Drosophila melanogaster: one gene and its partners. The protein of the gene in region 1 interacts with the protein of each later gene in a pairwise test. Each region holds a gene or a part of one and is shown in the gene's direction. Other genes may lie near its edges.

What was found.
Region 2: the proteins of caup (region 1) and dod interact in a two-hybrid assay, tested with the Drosophila melanogaster proteins (one large-scale study listed by BioGRID).
Region 3: the proteins of caup (region 1) and CG7381 interact in a two-hybrid assay, tested with the Drosophila melanogaster proteins (one large-scale study listed by BioGRID).
Region 4: the proteins of caup (region 1) and CG5011 interact in a two-hybrid assay, tested with the Drosophila melanogaster proteins (one large-scale study listed by BioGRID).

What each region holds. Positions count from the first base shown.
Region 1 is NT_037436.4:12,606,586-12,613,109, forward strand, and holds the start of caup (caupolican), read left to right. Parts: upstream 1-3,045; 5' UTR 3,046-4,183; coding exon 4,184-4,234; intron 4,235-6,524. UniProt on the Drosophila melanogaster protein: Controls proneural and vein forming genes. Positive transcriptional controller of ac-sc (achaete-scute). May act as an activator that interacts with the transcriptional complex assembled on the ac and sc promoters and participates in transcription initiation.
Region 2 is NC_004354.4:21,342,965-21,348,381, forward strand, and holds dod (dodo), read left to right. Parts: upstream 1-2,393; 5' UTR 2,394-2,486; coding exon 2,487-2,544; intron 2,545-2,655; coding exon 2,656-2,988; intron 2,989-3,357; coding exon 3,358-3,467; 3' UTR 3,468-3,599; coding exon of another isoform or gene 3,600-3,785; 3' UTR 3,786-3,894; downstream 3,895-5,417. Other genes in the region: fliI (flightless I), read left to right, coding at 1-301, 537-687, 811-1,221; peng (penguin), read right to left, coding at 3,600-3,785, 3,993-4,468, 4,567-4,969, 5,038-5,417.
Region 3 is NT_033777.3:12,966,530-12,974,899, reverse strand, and holds CG7381 (uncharacterized protein), read left to right. Parts: upstream 1-2,772; 5' UTR 2,773-2,831; coding exon 2,832-2,895; intron 2,896-4,081; coding exon 4,082-4,389; intron 4,390-4,459; coding exon 4,460-4,577; intron 4,578-4,651; coding exon 4,652-5,269; intron 5,270-5,359; coding exon 5,360-5,479; intron 5,480-5,549; coding exon 5,550-5,669; intron 5,670-5,732; coding exon 5,733-6,137; intron 6,138-6,206; coding exon 6,207-6,338; intron 6,339-6,402; coding exon 6,403-6,555; intron 6,556-6,616; coding exon 6,617-6,717; 3' UTR 6,718-7,125; downstream 7,126-8,370. Other genes in the region: CG14384 (uncharacterized protein), read left to right, coding at 8,298-8,347; grsm (granny smith), read left to right, coding at 7,300-7,446, 7,522-7,740.
Region 4 is NT_033779.5:1,197,821-1,202,262, forward strand, and holds CG5011 (uncharacterized protein), read left to right. Parts: upstream 1-2,850; 5' UTR 2,851-3,039; coding exon 3,040-3,282; 3' UTR 3,283-3,400; downstream 3,401-4,442. Other genes in the region: CG5139 (uncharacterized protein), read right to left, coding at 779-1,318; CG43348 (uncharacterized protein), read left to right, coding at 1,630-1,758; CG43349 (uncharacterized protein), read left to right, coding at 2,420-2,632.

The sequences.
Region 1 (6,524 bases):
GGCCAGGTGATGATAGTGTGACTCTTATCTAGAATGGCTGATAACGCCAAACACTGATTGGTGGTGAGTGGAGCTCCCACCCACCGGCTATTTGTCGATAGAGTTTTCCGGCTCAAAAATGGAGAATATTATGCCCAAGGACTATGGCCAATTTGTAACAGAATCTTTAGTGTTGAGTACACCCAACATGGCTCCCCTTGGAGTCGTGGCTTAAACTGGACTTCCAACTCCAAGTGTGCAAACCCAAAACACAAACGAAAACAAATTCATTTAAAGCAATTTGCATGAAGAGAGAGAGAATCCTTTTTGTGCTTGTTACGGTGACTTTATCGTTTATCGTTTTGCGAAAAGGATTTTATTATATTCACCAGAAGCACTATCCTTTTGCCTTTGCATGTGTGTCTGTCTGTGTGTGTGTGTGTCTGTGCGGCAGAAGATTTTTCGCCGAGAGGAAACTGTATGTGTGAGTATCTGTGTGTGTGCCACATACTGAAAAGCGACAATTTCATGTCCAAATGCTTTCCAGGTGACATGAAACAACACTTAAGTAAGAAGCCTTTCTGGGGAAGGAGGTGGGGTGGTGAATATTCTGCCTGCAACTCTCTGTGCAACTGTATCCATTCCACCCACTCAACGCCCACCCATTCACTCACACACATTAGCAGTTAAATTTGTTGGAGTGTGTGTGCGAGTGTCTCTGAACCAACGCACCTGGCGTCGAAGAATAATATCTCTTAACGCCAAAATCTACATTTAAATTGTTTTCAATATAATCTGCATGTCCTGTCCACCGAGTGAGCAATGTTCGAGTGTGTGTGCTGCACTAAATGAAAGCAGAGCTCAGACAATGGGAATCCTGGGATCAGGACACTTATGGGCACGGGCTACGTGCTCCCAAGGATATGCGACATGTGCCACAGTTCACATGTCCGAAGTCATCAAACAAATCACTCAGAGATATTGATTCAAGGAGGTAAACACTGCAGAAAACATTCGATTCAATTAAAATATACTCCAATTAGCATGATACTCATTTTACATATTTTCTTAAACATTTAGTATTTATTTAATATAAGCTTATAATTATGCTAAATATAAATTATATATAGATTATTTGAAATGTTCATCTTGTGTATCTTCAAAATATCGAAACTTAAAAAATTACACGAGTATAGTCCTGCTTATTTGATGATTCAGAAATTGTTTTAATATATGATTACTTTACATAACGTTTTGGTATGATTGGATTGCATTTATGTTGTTTTCAATTGAAGAATAACTATTTGCAACTTTTAAACCAATCACAATTTGGCTCTTTAGAAATTCAATTTTTAAAAGCATACATTTTAAATTTCATGGATGAATTCTTTATTCTCAAATGCATTTCTTTCATGTGAATCCTTTCGTATTCCAGATCCCCAGACTCATGAAGTGGGTGTAGAATTTCGTGGCGCCGCCAAGAGCGTCCAGAAATTGAGTACCGATCAGGAGTTTGGGCATTCGGACACTTTTCCCAAAAATACCCGGTGCATTTTCATTTTCCTATGCAAATGACACATTGCTACACACACATTTACATATGCGTTCGTTTGTAAGTACCGAAAAAAGTGCCACATGTGCGTCTCTTTTGACTTTGAGATGCACTCGCATTTATAATAAATGGCAGCGCGTTAACACCCCAAAACATCAAAATACTCATTTTACAAAAATTCCCCAAAAACGTTCAGTTCCCCTCCCCACCCCGCCCGCTCCACATACCATTAATTAGAACGCACTCGACTCGAGGACCCTCAAATGGACCGGCCACGCCCCCTTCCTTGGATCGAATGGAATCGGATTGTTTGTTTGTTTTTTCTCCTATTTCGGTATCTTGTTACGATTAGCTAGTCCCAATTAGCTGCGATTTTCGTGATTTGGCCTTGAGATATTGGAGCATTAAGCACTTTTATGGGAAATGTACAATGCATATATCAAGCTATTTTTAAAAAAACACACACACACTGTAATGATTAAATGTTGTTGATGTTACCAATAACGTACGGATTAGTTTTCTTAAATAAAATTAGATTTTGGCTTTATATACTTGCAGACCTTCTAAAATAATTTAATTTGATTACTTTTTAGATTTTCCAAGTCCTTACACCACCCAAAATTTAAATGCACATTAAAATATCAAACTTTTTGTTTATTGGGAGCCAAGATAGAAAAGCAAATATGTTTATTAAAATATAAAAACATGCTTATATTTGTTTGCTGTATGTTATTTTTTGTAGTTTGATGTGACATAGATTATATTTATTTCAGCTGGGCTTATAAAAAAGGTTTTATGTTTTTGTTATTTTAATATTGAAAATTCTCTTTTAAAATTTCAAAGAATAATTGGAAGCGGATCAAATAAAACACTAAACTACTCAATATTAAAGAGATTGTATACCCACTCGTCTTGAAAAACATATCTTTATATGCCTGCAAATTTTCTTAAACATTATATTTAATTAATTAAATTAATGTTTGATTTTTTGAGATTGTAGAAAAATGTTCCAATTCTTCCCACGAATGTATGCCCAGACGTATTTTGACCAGTTATTATGATAGCAAATCTTCAGCAACTCTTTTCTAGTTTTTCCAATTATTTCTGTATTGTACTTTTTTATCAAAATCGGAAAATTCTTAGCCAACTTTGGCTACAATATCCAATTGGGAAGCCTTTCGATCGTGGTCCGCCATGAAATCGCTTCCAACGTCGACAGAGAGGGGTCGGCAGAAAGAGAGCGTCGACTTACTTTCCAGTGCTTGGAGGTGGGCGTTCTCAACGAACAAAGCAACAACAGCCCCAGAGAGTCTACCCTTCTCACTCGTTACCAGACCACTCACAGACGTGCAAGCGAGAAGGCTGCTGCTCGTGGCTGCCAGTCTGATTGGAACGCTGGCCAATGGGAGAGCTCCTAACTGGCTGGCTCTCTCGCGGCCCTGCAGCCATCCCGTTTACATCGCTGCTGCCATCTCTGTCACACGCAACCGCGCTGCTCGCTGAGCGGCCGAAAAACAGTTTGTTCCGAAACGCGAATAGGTGCGCATCTTCGCATCTTGGCATCTCCGCCGCGTCGCCCAGTAAACTCGAAAAAAGGCCGAAACGAAAGTACCGACGAACGAGTTACAGTCACCGGATAAGTCACAGTCGGTTATTGAGTCGCAGTCACTGCCGTCGTCACCGTGGAGATACCGCTGACAGGTTGGAACGGAACCCGTTTTTACTGGAGCATTGCCAGCGGATCGGATCGGCAGATGCAACCGACGTAGATAATGAAGTGCGTGCAATAGTTATGATAAAAGTAAATACGAAAAAAAGGGACCCGAAAAGACAGGCAAACCTCTCTAGAAATGTCTCGTTAAATATCAAAAGAAACTCGCCATAAATTCGAAACTATGTTTATTATTATGGATCACATATCAAAAAGTTTCCTAAGCTGACTTTAAAAAATTTCGATACAGTGTGGAAAAAACTGAAATACCAATCAGTGGGTAAACTCGCAAACCAAACTGACACATTCTTTTGACCGAAGACTGAAGAGCCGCGTACATTTGTAAATCTGTTTGCGGCAAACACTTGAATCCAATTTGCTTTGCCCGGCTGTCGTCTGTGTGTGTCTTTTTTTAACCATTTTGGTAACCGGCCGCCAAAGAGTCAAACAGAGTCAATAAAAATCAAGTTAAAACGGATGAAAACGGACGAGCGAAATAAAACAGCAAAGTCACACAAAACAAACAAAACATTTTCCGGCTCCGGCGACATTAACAGAACTGCTCGACATCGACAATTTGTTTTATCAATTTTCAACAAGGCCAGCCAGCAGCAGCAACAACAACAATAGCACAACACCCAACAAGCCAGCAAACAACAAAAGCGCCCAGAGTGCTTAGCCGTCGAGCACGCACGCCAAATCCGCCCAGCCACCCAACCCAACCACCCACTGGCCACCCACTTGAACCTCCCTTAAGCACCCAACACCATCCCCACATCCTTGGCCACCCCTTTTTCGAGGGCTCCGCCAGCATCCGCATCCGCAATCGCAAAAAAAAATAAGAAAACAACAAGCAAACAACGAGGGACGCCCCACAGTGAAGCCCCGGCACAGTGAACTCGCGTGTCGCCGCTCTTTAGGCCAACTCAGCCAGCGAGACAATGGCTGCATATGCGCAGTTTGGATACGCTGGCTACCCGACGGCAAATCAGGTGGGTTTATGCCGGTGGTTTGTTTAGAGATTAACAGTTAACCGTTTTTTTTAAGTCTGTATTGATTAGTAAGCAAACTTAACTTAAGTTTTAAACGGTTATTTAGCACAGACAACAATTTTAAGGAATCTTTTAGTATGGATCCAATATTGTATCTTATATATACATTTATATTTGCTTTGAAAATGTTGCTCCCTTTAGATTTTGTCAATAATATATTCAATTTTAAAAGTAACAAATTCCAAATCAATTAAAAACCTTATCCAAATTTTTTTTTGTAATCTCATAATTTGTGTTCAAACTGAAGGCCATAAATACCATATTATAAAGAGCACTTTGCTTACAATAATTATTGTGAATAGAATCTGAAGATTTATAAATACATTGATTTAAATTGAGTAGAATGCGAAAAACCAGTTGAAAGAGCAAATTTCTGAATTATTGCTACTGGGTGCCTTAAATTTAAATTTAAAACAGATGGCTTAGTCATAACAATTTATATTGGCCATGAAATTAAATTTATTAATTTCGTTATATGTATTTATTATATTTTGATTTACAGCTGTGCCATTTCAATATGCAGCCATAACTTAATCATTTCAAGAGACACTTGAATATACTATTTATTTAGTGCGGACTAAAATAATATTTGGCACACACACAAAAGATGTTTCATAAAACCAGAAACTGAGTCAGTTGAATATTTTGGCATGTGCGAAAAGGGAAATCTTTAATAATGGACGGTGCGAAATAACTTTAAATTTACATATTAAGCCGGCGGGTTTGGGGAGCAGCCACTGCACATGAATATTCAAGCACTTTGGCACCGGTTGGGGCTCCTGGATCCCTATATATATACATACATATATATATAGATATATATATATATATGCGGATATAGCCATAATGGCCGCCCCGCCGCCAAGAAATGTTTCACAATTTAGGACAGCCGTCACCGCCTTGGATGCAAATCGCTGGTAACCGAAGGGGGGGGTCTGGTGGGGCATTCCGGTGGCAGTGCATCGTCCGAGGTCTGGTCATAATTACCCGGTATTCGGAGCTCAGTAATTCAAATTAGTTGGCCCAAACGGGGGGAAGTGAAACACTTGCAGCTACAAAGCCCTTGCAATGCCTGTGTAAGCCATGTTCAACGACTACTATGTGGTCAAATGCGTCAATGCTAGTGCGTTTATCCTGCTGCCAATTTATGTACATTTATATATATACATATGTATATATGTGTGTATGTATACAATATTCCTGACCACGGTGGCTGGCATAAATTTATGCTAATGAAGCCGCCGGCGGAGTGGTGCACCATTTATTATAATATGCAAACTTGGTAAATTACAATAATTAAAATAATGAACGTTCAGATTATCGACTATAATTATGGCTGGAGATGTGCAAAAAGCCTTTTGCCTTGCAATCGATTAAGAGCCAACAGAATTTTGTCATCGTTTTCGGCTCATTTGCATACGTCTACTAAAGCCACTAAAAGCCACTAAATGCGACTAAGCCACCAATGAAAGACTGGTCAGTTGATATGGCATTCGGGTGCCAAATTTATGCAGTGCACACACTCGGGTTCTCATTAATTTAATTTTAATTTCGACGCCAAGACGGCATTCCAAATATAAAAAAAAACGACAATATATAAATTTAATCAACGGCTGACAGTTGGCAGTAGCAAAAGAACTTGCAGGCACATCGCACATCGAATTCTTAACTTCCCATGCGAGCTGTTCACGCATTTCATGGCAAAATAACTAAAATTCTAAGGCAGCAAAAAGTGCGCGACGATGTCGAGTCCTGGATTCACATAGGCTCCATCTGAAGCCCCCCCAAATTCCCCATCTCCATCTCCATTGGGACGCAAAAGGACAAGCCCGTAAATGATGCGAGAAAAAACTAATATTTCGCAGTGTGCATTCCATAATTGATTTATGAATTTTTAATGCAAACATTGAGACCGCAGTTGAGTTGCGAAAGAGTTGTTCCACTGCGAACCATAGTATTCTGCGCCCCAACTTAATTCAATAAGCAAGCCCCACAAAAAACCGAGCAACTTATTCGCATTAGCAAAAACGCACTTTGGAGCCAGTCCCTTTGGCCATTCAATGCACGGCGAGAAAAAATGTGGGCAATTGGTAGGGGCTTATTCTCAAATTTATTTTAATGACATAGAAGCGAAATAGAAGCATAAATCGGTAAACTTAGCTGTTCACTACCATAAAACTTATATCCATACCTTTTATTTAGATAACAAACATAAATTCTACATAAATTT
Region 2 (5,417 bases), on another chromosome or scaffold:
GACGCAATGCCGGCAATATGGGATGGCTCACGTTTACCTTTACACTGCAGAAGAAGTTCAAGGCGATGTTCGGCGAGGAGCTGGAGGTGGTGCGGATCTTCCAGCAGCAGGAGAACCTCAAGTTCATGTCCCACTTCAAGCGGAAGTTCATCATCCACACCGGCAAGCGGAAGGACAAGGCGCACACCGCGAAGGGCAAGTCGCCAGTTGAGTTCTTTCACCTGCGATCGAACGGCGGTGCGCTCACCACTCGCCTTATCCAAATTAATCCGGATGCAGTGCATCTCAACTCAACCTTCTGGTGAGCAAATTACCAATAATTTATTACTGTGGGTGGTAATAATCACCCAGTTTTTTTTTTTGAGATGTATGACAAGTGCGATTTTATTGGATCAACATTCTTGTCTTATCGTTGGTTGAAACTGAAATTCCTGGAAGCCTACGTGATATGACACAGTATTATTTATATATATCCAAAAGATAGCGAACATAGTAGTAGTCGCTCCAATATTTATATTCCATACGCATTATTTCAGCTACATACTCCATGTGCCATTTGAAACGGAGGACGATTCGCAGTCGGGGATTGTGTACGTGTGGATAGGCAGCAAGGCCTGCAACGAAGAGGCCAAACTGGTGCAGGATATTGCCGAGCAGATGTTCAACTCGCCGTGGGTGAGCTTACAGGTGGGTTCCATGTGTTAATGTGGTTCAACCATGTAGTGGGCTGTTTTGTGGAATATATTGTACATATGTTTATATTAAGGTACACGCTCTTGTTAATCGTTTCTTTTCATCCATCCTTTGCAGATTCTCAACGAGGGCGACGAGCCGGAGAACTTCTTCTGGGTGGCGCTGGGCGGCCGCAAGCCTTACGATACGGACGCCGAGTACATGAACTACACGCGGCTGTTCCGGTGCTCCAACGAGCGCGGCTACTACACGGTGGCCGAGAAGTGCGCCGACTTTTGCCAGGACGATCTGGCCGACGACGATATCATGATCCTGGACAACGGCGAGCACGTCTTCCTGTGGATGGGACCGCGTTGCAGCGAGGTGGAGGTGAAGCTGGCCTACAAGTCCGCCCAGGTCTACATCCAGCACATGCGGATCAAGCAGCCGGAGCGGCCGAGGAAGCTCTTCCTCACGATGAAGAACAAGGAGTCGCGCCGTTTCACCAAGTGCTTCCACGGCTGGAGCGCCTTCAAGGTGTATTTATAATTTTAGCCAACTGAAGGAGCATCGTCGAGTAGTTCTTTTAAATTTCCCTAATTCATGCACCGCCGCTATGTGGCCATTTAGGTCTCCGCAAGGAAAGCGCCTAAAAGGCGCTAGTTTTTGTCTTGCTTGTCTCGATTGGCGCCTTCGAGTCCCTGTCAGAGCTAGTGAATCGGCCTCGGGAAGTGCATTTATTAACCAGAAGTCGAAGAGCACGCCTGCAATGTGAGTTTAGTTTTATGAAATGAATAGAGGCACCTTAGAGGTGTTACCCACTAATCTTAGCCCGTTAGAGGAGCCCCATCGAGTTGTAAATTGGTCATTAAGCATTAAGTTAGACCTCTGTTAGCCGGATGCGAATGTTGTTCGCTGGGAAGATGCGCTGGGCAGCTGCCGTGACAGAGTAGCTGCCCCAGAAGACATGACAAAGCAAAATTGTATCGAGGGAAAAAGAATGAAAGGGCCAAGCCAAGCCCTTCCTTCAGGTCGTGAGTGAAGATCGTGTGTTTGTACTTTTATAAAATGTATTTAATTGTTTTGTATAATTAATTTAAATTTTTTTATTAGCTCACTTGCTCCCGCCCCTAACTAAATAATTAGCTAACTCCAAGAACGCCAAGTATTCGCCCACTCCCTGCGAGAAAACCACATGAGTATATTGAATGCAAATATACATACATATGTATGTATATCACATATGCCTACAAATACGCAATATATATATATATATATATATATACATACGCTGAGCTGAGAGGATTACTCCCCTGTGCTAGTCCTTTTAAAATGTTAACCTACTTAAAGCTAGCCTGTAATAAAGTCAAGGAAGCACTAAAACTAATTGTACAAATGCCCACGTATTTATTTTATTTTTATTAATCCCCTGAATAAACATTAGAAAAATTGAAATTCCTCTATTCGTGTCGCGGATTGAAGGAGGTATTGGAATAGATTTAATTAAGTTATGTGCTAATTTTTCGGCAAAAGATACATATAACATATCAGAATAGCACATATCAGCACATTATTGTTAGTTCGCTGCTATTATATTGGCCTCAGCTGTATCTGCGGTTAGCGAGTGCACCCACCGCAGTTAGCACGTGCCAGCACCTTATTTGGCGAATTCGCCACCATGTGTATCGATATGTCGATGGCAGGCGCTATCGATTTTGATGGATGTTCTCAAAGCGTGTTCGGCGCGGTCACACTGGTGGTTTATTTTATTCCGAAAACTATTTGTAATTTAACTCAAATTAAGTGAAAACAGCATGCCAGATGCCGAGCAACTACCGGACGGCTGGGAGAAGCGCACTAGCCGCTCCACAGGTAAGCATCGTGTGCAGTCCCGCTCGTGCCATGCCGGCGGTTTTCCGGCGGAATGCGGAACCGGCACGCTAAACTGAACCTGCACTTGATTGATCATGATTGATTTTGCAGGAATGAGCTATTATCTCAATATGTACACAAAGGAGTCGCAGTGGGATCAGCCCACAGAGCCGGCGAAGAAGGCGGGCGGAGGATCCGCCGGCGGCGGAGATGCACCGGACGAGGTGCATTGCCTGCATCTGCTGGTTAAGCACAAGGGCAGTCGGCGTCCCAGCTCGTGGCGCGAGGCGAACATCACGCGCACCAAGGAGGAGGCCCAGCTGCTCCTCGAGGTCTATCGCAACAAAATCGTCCAGCAGGAGGCCACATTCGACGAGCTGGCCCGCTCCTACTCCGACTGCAGCTCCGCCAAGAGGGGCGGCGACCTGGGAAAGTTCGGCAGAGGTATGTATATCTCCCCACTGTGCATTTGTCACACGTCCAGGATCGAGTGGTCCTCGATGTGTGTCCGTTTAGGAATAAGGCGCTTCCCACTTGAGGCGCAATCCAGAAACAGATTGGTACTTCCACTAGAGGCTCTGATTGTTTTCAATATTCAAGAGAAGAGAAGAGAAGATATATCGACCACTAATAGATTATAGATGCATAGTTATAGACAAACACTATTTGCAATTGGCTCCGCGGCATTTCTTTTTTAATCTTCCTTACCTTACACATTTTTGTACCTATAACTTCGCGAGCTACTTGCAATCGTAGAGTTTAGGCCACCCAACCGACCTGCAACTGCTTCTAATTACATTTCACATCTCACAGGTCAGATGCAGGCGGCTTTCGAGGACGCTGCCTTCAAATTGAACGTCAACCAGCTGTCGGGCATCGTCGACAGCGACTCCGGCCTGCACATCATCCTGCGCAAGGCATAGACTCATCGAGCACCGACCCACAGCACAACTCGCGTCCCTTCACATGAATAAAACGGAATGCCCAGCCATTTCAATATAGAATTATTTATTGTATTTTAAAATGTTAGGTCTTGTCTAGGCTAGAAGCGTTTCTCATTTGCCAATGTCCAGTTTGGCGGCCAGTAGCTTGGCTCCGGGCGTCTTACGGTCCGCGAGTATCTGGCTAAGGCTCCTCTCCGCCGCGATGGCTTTCTTGCAGTCGTCCAGCAGTGCGGGACACTCCTCCACCAGCTTGAGCAGGACAAAACAGGCCCGGTTGACGCCCAGCCAGGCTTTCAGCTGAAAAGGGAAAGGGAATCGCAATTAGGAATTGGAATCTGAGTGAAGCTGTTTACTTTGCGACTACTTATTTATTAGACTAAAGCTAAAGGAATGTCGAAACGTCATTAAATAAAAGAAAAAACTCAAAAGTACGATGCGTTTCTCATGACTGGGAAAAAGGAAGATACCCTCGGTTACCGGATGGCATGATTTTTGGGTACTTACCACATCGGAGGACAAGTTTTGGAGTAGCTGTTGGCTGAACGGGGTGCCCTCTCGCTTGCCATCGTTCTTGAGTATCTTCTTCAATACAATGTGCATGCCGGCCTCCTCGATTCCGGAGACCAACGGAGCCGCCGGCTCCTCCTCCTTTGCCTTTGGCTTTTTGGGCTCCTTTTTGGCTTTCTTCACCTTGGGTTCGGCATCATCTGCGGCCGCCTCCTTCTGCTCCTTCTCGTCTCCTTCATCGTCGCTCTCCTCATCTTCATCTTCATCTTCATCTTCGTCGTCGCTGCTGCTCTCGACATAAAGCAGTTTTCTGCGCTGTTTGGTGGCCTGGGCTATAATGGCCTCCACGTCATTGTGAGGCTTCTTCTTATCCTGCGGCTGCGGACCGGCGGCGTCTGCTGAAATGCGCCACTCCGGTTGGACGACGACTTGGGCAAGGGCCGAAGCAGCCTTCTCATAGGACTCGCCTTGAACTAAAAGGCAGAGATGCAAACGTACATTAATATCGTGAACATATTCTTGTAAATCCATATGTATGTTTCTGCTATGGCTTTCAGAAGTGTGCACTTACTGTGATTAAGAATATCGCCGGTGACCAGGCCGATGTGGCTGTTGGACAGCCAAAAGGCGGCATCCTCGGCGATGGACTGTGCAATCGGCGCCTCTATCTGCTCAAGGATCTCCTTGCGACGCAGCTCCTTCTCCTTTTTTCCAAAGGCTAGACCCTCCTCCACCGTGCGAATGAACTCTGGATGGAAGCATGTCGTATCACCCGGAGCCACCAGCCATTGAATCACTCGTCGGCCGTACGGGCTGCTCATTAGCGCCTTTAGATCTCCGTGTAGGTGATCGTAAATTGCCTTCTTGGTCGCCTTAGTGTCGTCCAGTGCGTTTAGCAGCGAGATGAGGAACACGTGGCCGTGCTCATGGTTGGCGATCTTTAGCAGGTGCTCCTTGATATTCTTGATAATGGCCTGAAGAAGGGGTTAGAATACATATAAGATTCTGTTTCATCAACACACGTTATACGTGATCCACTTACTCTGCGATTCTTGGGCGTCGACTTGTAGAAGCATATAACAGCCGCCTCGCTGCCCTCCTTGGTGGACAGCATGTGAGGCACTAGAGCCGCAAACGCAGTGACCGTCTCCTCCAGCTTCTCCTCATCTTCGTCGCAGGCGCGCAGGTACTCCAGCATCACGGCGTGCACCAGCGCACTGTCCACCAGCTGCTTGTTGGCCACATGATCCAGGTTTGCTTTAACCGACCCCAAAATGGAGGCCTTCATGTTCGTGGCCTCCTTATAGGTGTCGCTCAGAGTCTTCACATTCGAATCCTTGGCCTTCCGGTACAGATCGCCGTAGAACTCCTGGCGCATATAGATGCGCTGATTGGGTGTGGCGCTCTGATACATCGAATCCA
Region 3 (8,370 bases), on another chromosome or scaffold:
CAGTTACCAGTTGGCCTTACCTTTACAATTACGGCCCGAAGACGCGACTGAGCCACGAGTCGCGTTTGAAGTATCTCTCGCGCTCCAAGACACTCAAGAAAAATTGTGTCTACCTAAGTCAATTACTAATAAAGCAATAAGCCGCAGTAAGAGTTATATAAATTATAATATATTTTACATTACATTTCTTAATTTTTCTTGGATTATTCCTCAATATTTTTCGTTTATAGAAAATTTATAAGAAACATATTTTTTATTTAATATTGAAACTATAGATTTAACGGTCAAAATTGCAGCCTTGCGACATTTCTACGAGTGTACTCTCCGCCTTCGTCCTGCTTTTACGTTCTCACTTTCTCTTCTGCTCTCACTCTCGCTTTCGCACTCCGCTCTCCATTCGCTGGACTTTGCGAGAGTCGTAAACATACGAAGCCAGAGAAAAAGCCATTAGTAGCGGCTTGATGCTCGCTACGAAAGGATCAAGTTGCGTTCCTCGGTTTTTAAGTCGCGCCAAAGAGTCGCGAAGAGAGCTAAAAAGCGGAGTGCGCGTAACGGCATGCAGTGATATTTAATCGAGTGCCTAATTCGAAAAAAATAAAACATTTTATCAAGCAAGTAAATGAATCAGCTTAAATTCAAAAACAAAATAATGCAGATGCTTAGAGTGTGTCGTGAATACAACTAATTAAAAATTCTGCATTACATAATTGTGCACATTGAGGCTTAATTAATTTTAAACATTTTAACGAGTATCGATTCCCGGGTGCGAGATGTGAAAACTCATTATTTCCATCGACGGGTCATGGAGGTCATCACATTCGGCGCGCTAACGCTTAACGTATTTCAATCCATTATATGCATAACCACACCGAAGTCACTGACCAGCTAACCAATACATAGCCATTAATAGGGCGTCATTTATTACATATCGAATGTGGAACTCATTCCCAATTCGACTCCCATAACCATAACCATCCCCATATCCATTCCCAGCTAACTAACGAGCCCCGCAGCGGCATGTGTTCTTGAAATCCACTAATTTAGTTTATTATTAGTATTAGTATATTTGTCGACACCACCGGCGACGTCTGCATTAGTTGATTAAAGATGGACTCGAGATGTTGGCCCAAAGCTGGCAGCATTTCTAATCAATGATACTTTCCAATTATTCAGTGATCCTTTGATGGCCTAAAAAAACACCACTTAACAGTGATAAGCGAAAACAAAAAGGAGAGTGCATTGTGTGTGTGTGTGTGCCATATAGAAACCAGGCGACGAGGATTAAGCCATCAACAGCGAAAGGAGCGTCCCTTTAAGCCAAATGTGAGTAGCGGTAAATCCCAGTCAGAACTTAAATGGGGCACTACAAAGTCGATAATTTCAAAGTGCGTCCTTGCACTTGTACTGAATAACTTTGGGCCATATACATATACAAATCCATATCCGAAATGTATATAAAAAAAAAAAACGGTATGGTGTGTGTAGTTTGGGGTGGAAGGGATATAATTTCTCTTGCACCTGTCGCTGCTCTTTTCACTTCATCGCGTGCGTGGCAAAGCATTTTTATAGCCACAAAATGTCCTTTTACGTTATGTCTCTCAAAAACAGAAACACACACAGGCAGAAGGGAAAAGCGACAAACAATAACAATGCCAGCTAGCGGGAAAATTGAAACGCGGTCAGGAGAAAGCAACAAACAAATAGAGACTTACGCACCATCACAGCCCTTAAAGGCCAATTCATTACGGTGAAAATCTGAAGGAGTTACCATTTCGGATGATTCAAAGCTAATACATTGCAGCTTGCAATGATTAATGCGGCCTGATTAACCGACAGGCCGCGTTAAATTAGCCCCGAAATTAACCCCTTTCACATCGATTGCTTTCCATTTCATTTGTGGACACTTTCAAGGTCGCCTCTTGCGACACTCGTCGCCGACGGCGTTTTGCTATTTTTAAAACATAATTCATATTGAATTATAAATACACTACAATTAGTAATTTACATAGCCGTCAACCGGGGGGAAATCCGAAAACTACGAGGCGCACGCTCAGAAGATAGTAACCAAATTTGGGCACACGTGTAGTTGCCCTTCAAGAAGTAAGACTTGGTAGATGGGTATGAAATAGTCGAAGCTTTTTAAGCATTTTAGAAAATAGTCAGCCTTTCTGCTGAGAAAACTGTATATATGTAAAAGTGATGTATACTAGATACTTAGTTAAATATAAGTGTATGAAAAAAAGGAATACTTAAAAATTTAACAAACAATTACAATGACAGCCTTGATTGTCAATTAAATGAGACAAAAAGTAAACATAATGAGCTATCTGAATGAGTGATTCATTGATTAACTATTTTATTTAGTAACAAAATAGCCATACTGCAGTCTCAGCGTTATCAGCTCAACTCTTGCCAAAAGACCAGATGGGGTTAACGTTTTACTACTACCATTAGACCGAAGAACAGGTGTCCAAAGCAGGTGTTGGACGCTGATAAGCGCCCTCTTGATACCACCGATACCACTCTAAATGGCCGGAGAACCAACTAAGTGGGTAATCACGGTGGCTGCAGCCCTGGCAACCAATTCCGGTGACATTTGGGCTAACTGAAACTGCAGATTGCGATAATTCAAATTAGGATTATCAGGGAAAACCGCCGATTGCCACCGGTTAATCATCGATGTATGAGTGTTTTTTTTTTGTATGGCCGACATAGAGATAAGATTAACCGAAATCGAGCACTCGATATAGACCAATCCCTACTCGAAATGGTCAGTTGCCTTTTGGCCATATTAGCCAGCAGTTCGGGAAAGTAGCTCTCAGCTTGGGAAAATGTCAAACTTCCAATGGTTTCTAACGCTCGGCGTCCTTTGTTGTGCGGTTCTCAGTCCTCAAGGTAACAGAAAAGGAAAAAAATAATAATAAATAGCGAGAGCGAAATGAAAAAAAAAGTCGAGGGAAATCATGTGGCCCAATGTGGCGAGCGATTTCCGGTAATTGAATTAAAGCCACGTTTAATCGGGTGTGAGGCCATCGAAAGGGCAGTTGGCCAAATTAGTGGACAAATAAATGTGGGCCTACGACAGTCATAACATTAAAGAACCACAAGTAATTAATGCAAACGCAATCAAGGTCAAGTACTTTGCCCCATTGACCCCACCACTCAACGAGCAACGCCATCCCCCGGTGGAAAGGACTCTCACGAATGTCCAGGTCCCAAGGTCCTTTGCGGTTTGAGAAATTGTTTTGCCGGCCACGGAAAATGGAAATTAAAGTGGCAAAGCGTCCAGCGAAGTTCACTTTTTTTTTTCTTTTCGGTGGCATTGTTATTGTTATTACAATTTTTCGCGTTCGCATTGTTTGTTGCCGCGTTGATACTGTTTTATATGGAAATTTTTTCGATGCCGCAACCTCATCCGGAAGTCGTTGGCGTATACGTAATAAATTGCGGCCCCGACACGTTGCGTGCCAAAAGAAGCTTTGCACGTCGCGACGCTCGGAATTTTTGCTTATAGTAAAGGGTAGTAGAGTTGCCTTTTGTAAGGGTAATAATCAGCTGGACAGGTAGATAAGTGGGCGTGGCACTGCCTAGATTGACCAGGATGTTTAGCCAATTACAAATTTATCGGATCAAGGAAGAGGTTTAGTAGGGCGATTTTCAAATGTAAATGATAATCAGTTTAAAGCTGGGACAGAAAATGTAACAAATTTTATTTTTAAAAACGAGACAAGAAGATATTGAATATCCACCAATATACATATGTTATAGAACATAATAAATCTAGTTTTCACTTCCAGTTTTTAGTGAGTTCTTTGAACTAGTCTCTATAATATTTTAAGGATTTTGCTGATTGGATTCTATGGTACATAGGTGATTAGGAAAATTGTCCCAACCCATCGAAAGTTAATGAAAATCTCCTTAATCAAGTGTGTGAACTGGAGCCCGTTTTGAATAATTGAGAGTCAGCCGAAAGTGGGTCGCCCCGACACATCCGAATGTGTGGTCACAGGCACCGTGGATACGTTAATTTTTAACCAACCAAACAGGCTGCTGTCCTAACCCATTTCTTAACCAATTTCAGGCGACGGCGGCGTGTTGGCCGTATTTTGGCCATGTGAAACCGAGGCGGACTGCACAGCTGACGGTACTAGCTGCGATTTTGCCAGCGGCCAGTGCGAGTGCTCCACATTCGATACGGTGCTCGCGGAGAACTTCACCCAATGCCTGGCCACGTCGCTCATTGGTGAAAAGTGCGACGACAGCGTCCAGTGCAATCTTATGCCAACGGGGGCCAGTTGTAAAGCCGGGGTCTGCGATTGCGCCGATGGCCAGAACTATCTGCGTGGCAAGTGTCGCCCACTGAACGGACTCGGCGAGTCCTGCGAAACGGTGAGACCACGGCCCAATCAACCGTGCACATATCCTTTATAATTTCGCATGATTTTTCGATTTTAAACAGGACTTGGACTGCTACTTTGGCTACGATCGTGCGTCTGTAAGTTGTCAGCAAAACGTGTGCGGCTGTGCAAATGGCTATTATAACAGATATGGAAACATCTGCCGTCGCAAATCAATGGGTATGTGTTAGTCGAGAAGTTATTGTAAATGGTATATATGGCTCTATATGGCTCTATATATGCCTGATTTTCAGAAGAAAACGATGCCTGCGTCGTTAACGCGGACTGTGATGAACTGGGCGCCGGTGTCGAGTGCGTTGGCCTAGTATGCACCTATGTGGACGAGATCACAACGACTCCGGGTGGCGAGACCGAGGAAACGGAGACCACCAATCCGGGCTCGCCAGAGGATGATGATTCAACCACAGCCGAGGCGATCACCGAGACTGCCGATCCGGAACAGGAGACCGCTTTCAGTAGCCGAAGGCAGCTAACCAAGGCCTTTGTACACGCCCCCCCGCCCACTCACAGCGATGCCGCCGCCCAGGTGTCCTTCGCCCAGCTCACCAATGGCGACACCGAGCCGCTCATCTCGCCCCGATCCCACGAGATTGCCGTCCAGACGAGCATCGAGAAGTACGAGCTGAGGGAGGTGGGACGAAGTGTGCGCAATGCGGCCACCGCCACCACCACAACGACAGCCACCGCCTCCACGAGCACCAGTAGCAGGCGCAACTCCAGCCGCAACCAGAGACACGCCCATGGCCAAAGACGCCGCTTGCCCGCCCTCTTCCGATTCGATGACGAGGATATAAAGACCTACTCCACGCTGGGTTCCAGCCGCGATGACGACGATGCCGATGAGAAGAAGTGTGAGTATCCAAGAATGCCCCCAAAAAAATGAAGTCTCTCAATGCTTAGGCAATCTTAAATATATTTCAACTATTTTTTTTCCCATTTAGATGGCAGCAGCTGCACGGATAATGGAAAGACATGCTCGGGTCTGCCGCACTCGATTTGTTCCAAGAATATTTGCCTATGTCGCCAGGGTTACTATGCCCGCAATGGAAAATGTTTTGCCGGTGAGTAAACTGGGTTTCCCCCAATTTAATTCTTCTATTAATGAAATTAACTGAAATGAAAATTCTTTAGAACTGGGGGAAATTGCGGAGAGCACGGATGAGTGCGAGTACGAGTTCGATCAGTTGACCAAAACTTGCAATTGCCAAAAGAATTATTTCTACGAGCGGGATCTGCGCAATTGCAGAAAACGTAGGTGGTTCCAACGCTAGCTGCTGAATCGCACTTAAGATATATCCTTTTCCATCAAAACAGCCATTCAATACCACTTATCCTGCACCTCGAACAGCCAATGCAGTCCATTTGGCGCCTCCTATTGCCACCCGGAGATTCCGAGGAGGTGCACCTGCGAGGAGTACGCTCTCTACGATGCCATCAAGCAGCTCTGCGAATACAAACGTGGCCTGGGAGCCGAGTGTGAGTCGAACGATGGCTGTCCTGTGGATCACTCCGTCTGCTCCAATCGCGTGTGCGTTTGTGCGGACAACTACTTTGAGAAGGACGATCAGTGTATGCGTGGCATCGGTGCCGACTGCTCGGTGGAGGATGACTGCATACCTGAGAACACCGAATGCCAGGAGAAGGACGAGGAGGATCAGTCGCGCACCTGCCAGTGCCGAAAGGGATACGTGCACTTTAAGGATGAGTGCCTAAAAGAGGGTTAGTACTCAGAAGCTGAAATGCAAAGCAGCAAAATTATGCCCTGCCCCACATTACATTTCATTATAGCCGAGGAGCTGGAGGACGAGTGCGTCGAGGATGAGCAGTGCAAGCCGCTCCTGGCGAGCTGCAATTCGGAGGGCAAGTGTGGATGCAACGATGAGCAGCATGCTAAGAACGGAGTCTGTGAGACGAAGCGAGGTAATTGAGTCGCTAAGCTTTCTTTAATTATTTGTAATAATTCTAATATGTTGCAATCTTGCAGAGCTGGGAGAGTCGTGCACCAAGGCCACCGAGTGCTATGTAGAAAAGGATCCCGAGAATGTCGAGTGCCGCAACTCCGTGTGCCAGTGCAAGCTGGGCTACTCGGCGAACGCCAATCAGAATCAATGCATTCGCGTGATGCCCAATAAGAAAAGTAAGTGTCCTTGCAAAACCAATTGAGTAAGGATGATCTATGAATGTCACGCTTTTCGCAGATTCTTCCGGTAGACCAAGTGCTCTCAAAATCATCACCTTCATGCTGATTGGCTCCGCTTTCCTTATCACCAGTGCGGCCATAAAGCAGGCCTACTACTAGAACCAAACCAAAACCTAAATCCTTTCACCTGCGTGTTTGGGGAATGGCGAGGATAATCGAGGGAGGAGTTGGCCAAGGACCTTGGGGGGATCGGGGTGATTTGGGGATCGGCGGGAGTGGCCAGTATTAGCCAAGTTACTGGCATGGATGCAGGTCCATGCGCAACGTGAATATAAATCAATTAGTTCGTAAGTTGATATTTAGGAGTCGAAGCAATATAAATTTGGAGAAAGGGTCCTCGGAACGGAACGACTCTCGCTTATCTAATACGGCTAAGTGTAATGACAAATTATCTGTAAGTTTTGAAGTTAAACCGCTTGTTGCTAGGCTAAGCGAACAGTTTTTAACCAAATTGTAATATATACATCATAATAAACTAAGGCCAACGAAGAGTTGTGTATCAAATCCAGAAACTGGCAATTATTATTAAACAAGTAGTTTTGAGATTTCACTTCTATCAGTTAGCAACAGCAACTCAACTCAAATTTGTACCTTTCAATTTTTCAAGCTCGAATGTTTTGTACGTAATTCTTAGTTTAGCATCCTAAATTTCAGTACGTTAGTTGAAAAGTATAAGTAGAGATGGCACCGTATCCAAACGGCTTTTTAAGTTACGCGGTGGCTATACATCTTAAATCCCCGCACCTCCAAATGGAGGAGTCACTGCGTCAGGGAGCGGGGTACTGGAATGCATTGAGTTCGCGAGAAAAGAATCAGTATCGATCGAAAGTAAGTTCCTAGGGATTACACACTTTCCCCCTGACCGGCGAACTTTATCTTCTGCCCTTCGTTAATACCCTGCAGTACCAGAAACGGTGTCTCAGCAAAAGCTCCACTTCGCGTCATCGGCGTCAATCGGAGAAACTCAAACATATGGGATGCGGCCGCAAGAAAATAGTGCCCAAGTGTTCCCGAAAGCCCACGACTCCGGCCTGCAAGCCAAGGAGCGTCAATAGGTGTCCCCGGAAAAGCAGCTCCAACCGCTCGAGTCGTGAATGCATGCTGATGAAGTCACCAAAAGGCGTAAGTGCCAGTAGTTTAAATAATATTAACATTTATTTTATTATTTATAAAAGTTACTTTTAAGTAAGATATATTTTCATGTGTATGTCAACTTCACTTGTTTTGATAGTGAATTTTAAACACTGGGTTCATAGCGAACAAGTTGTCGTTTTCGTAACCAAACAATTATCACCTTGTTTTCAACTCTATTTTCTATTTTTTTTGTTGCCACTCAATTGTCTTAATATTGATAAGGGCATTTTGGTCAAAGTGTTTGCACATTATCTTGCAGTTTGCTATTTTATTTTTGTTATCAGCTCGGCTAGTAAAACAATCTGCAGTAATTTGACTGTATCTTTTGATTTATATTCGATTTGCGACCCATTTAAAATGGAGATTAAAATCTAGGGACCTTGAATTTCTGTATTTCAGAAGCTCATATTTGCATTCGAATCGAAGAGAACAGTAAAACAGTGTCAAATATTTCTGGGTGAACTTTCCGAGTACAAATAGGTCAAAGTTGATTTTGTCGTAAGACAATTGCTAAACTGAACTGCCTATAAATTTCAAGTCTCAAAATGTCCCTCAATTGCCCGGTTCATAATAAGAACTCCAGTGGCTTAAACATGTAAGTTTCGGCCAAGAGATCGC
Region 4 (4,442 bases), on another chromosome or scaffold:
CATAGCCAGAATTCTATGAAAAACCCCAAAGTCGTAGGCCGAATTGTGGCTGCGGATGAGGCAGCAAGAAGTTGGCTCTGCCATTAGCATTGGTGGGCACGACGACGACGAGGAGGAGGTGGAGGAGAAGGACGAGGAGCAGGCCGAGTCAAAATCACAGAAAATCATCGACAACTGGCAAATGTGTGAATTGAATTTTCAAACAATTTCGCCCGTGCAGGGAGTGCAGTGCTCGTCATCGGATTGCTATCCTGGTTTCGGTTTCTGCTCCTGGCGCTTTTCCCCTGCGCGGCGCATTTCCCCGGCTTTCCCGCTGGCCACGATGGAAACGTGCATGATTTGAGATTTGATTTGGGCGGCGGCCACATTACAGTCGCTAAACCTCGGCTTCCGTCCCGTCGTCCTGGCATCCTGCGCTTCAAAAGGCGCGTTTTAAACATTTCGCTCACGTCTCGGATGTTTATGCCATTAGCGTTTAAGTTGCCCATACAAAGTGCGACTCGTAGGTAAGCAAACGTTCCTTTGTTTTGGCTTCCTTGCCTGTTTTTATTGTCGAGAGACAGAGGTAATCGATGCTCAGGCTAGTTATTGAAAAAATTATCGAGGAAAACCCGAGGTACAACTCAAATAAATTCAATGAAATTGTTACTAGCCAGCAAATAGCTGTTGCTGTTCATTTGGACAAGTACAATTTATTTATTATCACATAAAATGCTTGCTACAAACTTTGAAGCTTTGTGAAAGCCCAAAAATATGCTATATACAATCACGAACAAATTTATCTGCACTCTATGCAACACGCTGAGCAGCAGCAGTGGTAACATTCCATGTCTGGATACAGATCCTGTTCCTCAACCTGTTCCTGATCCTGTTCCTGCTCCTGGTCGTACATCCTCTTCCGCCTGGCTGACCGATACAGTCGCCGGATGAGAGCTCCATATGGTTTCCGCGCCATCAGGTGAGTGGTTGTCTTGTGTATTTCGTAGACGCAATTCGTTTCGAGACACACAAAAGGCTCCTCCACCTGCAGGATAGTTTCCGATCTGAGATTGGGTACTGGCATTGGTAGCAGACTCCTCTGTTTCAAGATATTGATCTTGCTCTTCTTGACCACCCTCCTTTTCTTGGCAGGATTGGGTGCTGTAATGGCACCTTGGATCTCCGCCTCGAAGGATTCCTGGCGCCTGGAGGCCTTGCTCTTCAAGGCCGAAACCGTTTTGTATCGGTTCTGGATATCGGTAATGTTTCTCAAGGTCTGCTTAAAAGCAACCTCGACTTGCTCGACTTCCTGCAGCGTATTCCACAGATTCTTTTCCATAATTTGTTCACGAGAAAATTTTATACAATAAAAAATTTGAATACAAGAATGCACACTCCTCCCACTTCAAAAGATCATACGAATATACAAATCCTGTTCGATTGAAAAATCAGGGAAGCTAGATGTGTGATTTTCTCGTTGCGTTGTCATAGGGAAATTCCGATATGACCACCAAGTACTCACCTTATCGCAAAACAGGCTGATAAAATGTTTTAATGGGAAAACCAATGCCTCCAGCAGTCTTTCGTCACTATATATAGCGTGGAAATCGGGGTAATACTTTAGTTCAGAACGGAAATCGCTTTGGAAACATGCCACCACCACCGCACCAGCCCCACCAACCGCACCCACCGAAGGGTCCTGCGCATCCTGGGGATCACCAACCAGGACCGCATCCCCCTCACCACGGAGATCCGAAGCCCCATCACGGACATCACTAGGCCCATGGACAAGGACTATAAATAAGATTCAATTTTATACAGAACAAAACAAGATGGATACTTTTTAGGGAACTTAGTTTCTAATAGAAAGTCTTAAAAACTCTTCAAACCAAAGAAATAAAAGCCTGTACAAAATACATAGCTCTACTCTTTTCTATATCTTCAATGTTTATGATCTTGAATTGGTGATACTGCTTAATGCATTCTAAGCTTCCATTAATTTGAACAAAGCATACATATGATTTGAAGATCTAAATGCTTTTTAAATTATAATACACGTCCTAAGTGCAACGTACTAAGCTTAAGAATTTGTTGCTGATTGTTGCTGATTGTTGCTTACAAAAATAAAATATTATAACATCTCCATATTGTTGTACTTATGAACTACATGCAAAGTCGTCATTAACTTATTCTTTAAGTCACATATAGACATATCAGTAAACAATTCGCTTGTTTGTTATTACTAATTTCGAATGTCATACATTTGTTTTTATTGAGCGAAGTGTTGTTGTGGGAAAACCCGAAACTTACTTATCAACCGAACTGGGCTCGTCTTATCTGAAATTTAGATAAGATTACAACGTATTCGAATCATTTTCCTATAAATGGTTTGACAGGATAGGCTTTAGCTTAGTACTCAACTAAAGTCAGAAAAGTCAAGATGCCACCTCCACCGCACCACGACCACCACCATCATCATGGGCCACCACACCATGGACCTCCCCACCATGGGCCACCGCACCATGGTCCTCCACACCACGGGCCACCGCATCACGGGCCACCACACCACGGACCGCCGCACCATGGACCTCCGCACCACGACCACCATCATCATGGACCACCACACCACGGTCCTCCAATGCATCCTCGATGAGAACTATAATACAATATAAGCCGAATTTAACGTTATAAACTGATATGGAAAAACTTAATCGTTAACTGTGATTAAGCCACAAACTAACATTAAAATATCTTCACTAACTTCTAGTTAGTTTCACCAAGAGCAAAATGTTTTTATTTTAGAAATTGTTTAATTTTATAACACCATTATAAAGATACTGATTCTAATAAGCAATTAGAAGAATATTGAAGCAAGAATTGATTAAGTATGATTAAGTATCAAAAAGCCAGCAGATAAGGTAGACAATTATATATAAAAGAAAGTCCCTCTCCACTAGAATGCAGATAAGATTACAGCCTACTGAAACTATGTTACTTTTGTATAAAAGGTCTGGCAGGAGTGAGCCAGTTTAGTGTACAACAGAAGCCCGCCAAGCAAAGATGCCTCCTCCACCACCGCACCACCACCACAACCCGCCGCCTCATGGGCCACCGCCCCACGGACCACCGCACCATGGACCTCCGCACCATGAACCACAGCCCCCGTTCCACACGCCAGTGCATCCGATTTACCACGAACCTCCTCACGGAAACAGCTCCGGCTACAATCCTCCGCCGCCGCATGGTCCGTATCCATATGGTCCAGGATACGTGGCCCCAGGACCTCCAATGCATCCGCGATAAGAACTGAACTGTAATCTAGATCGGTTAATATAGTGTGATATCAACAAATGTACATTTGTGTGTGATTAAAAAATATGCTGCTTTTAAATATATAAACTAACTTTAGTTAGTCACGCCTATGTGTGATTCAAGTTTTATTACTTGTAGCTTCTATGCCAACAAACAATCCCATTTCGAGTATGATGATATATGCGCCTAATAAGATAAGGACGGTTTTTTGGAATTCCCATAGGACCGTCATAAAGATAATCCATTGAAAAAGTCGTCATTCTTTAGGTGCGTTATGATAGCTTATTTTCGGGTACTATCAAATTCTTGAGGTAACACGTCATTACTAATATTTCACTAGGAAAACAATCAATCAATCAGTCAATCAATCACTGGATTCTTTATTAATACGTGGGCTTATCGTATTAGTCGAATGTCATGAATTCTTAACTGAGCATATCTTTGATTTATTGGCTCTTTTCCATTCCATTTGTTCAAGAATAATATTTTTGTTTTTATTTTGAACGCTGAACTATTAGTAATCATGCATATAAACCTGTTGTAAACCTTATCAATGAGTTACTTCAACTCAACGCTAGATAAAGCTGTGCAATCTTATCGATAGGAAATACGCATTTGCTTACATTAGTCAGAACCTAACTTAGATTGTTGAGGTGATTTTTGGGGTACGCCACTGTTGATTTTTAGGGAAAGTACAAAGGGATGATATAATATATAACTTTAAAGACTTATTTAGAATATAACAGTATTTTAACAGTGCTACTTAATAATGGGAGCACATAGACAAAATTTGTTTTTAAAAAGAATATATTACTCATCCGCCACGTTGGCTGATATGGTTATGACCTTCTGGCTGGATAACTAGTGTAATACATGCGATTTTCGCAATAGACCCACCCCGTTTGTGACCGCAATCACTCAGGCGTTTAATAATTGACTGCATCTGCGGTCGAATCCCAATCGAATCGGGGTGGGTGGGTTGTTTAATGGAACAGACCCGGGTAAAAATCAAGCAAACGGCAAATAAAATTTATAACAAATCTAACACACATACATCATTTTGATATGGCCACGGACACGTTCCGTCCGTCTATTTGCTTAAGGATGGATGCTTCTTCGGGTGGCAGCACATGGACATGGACGCGGTCCGG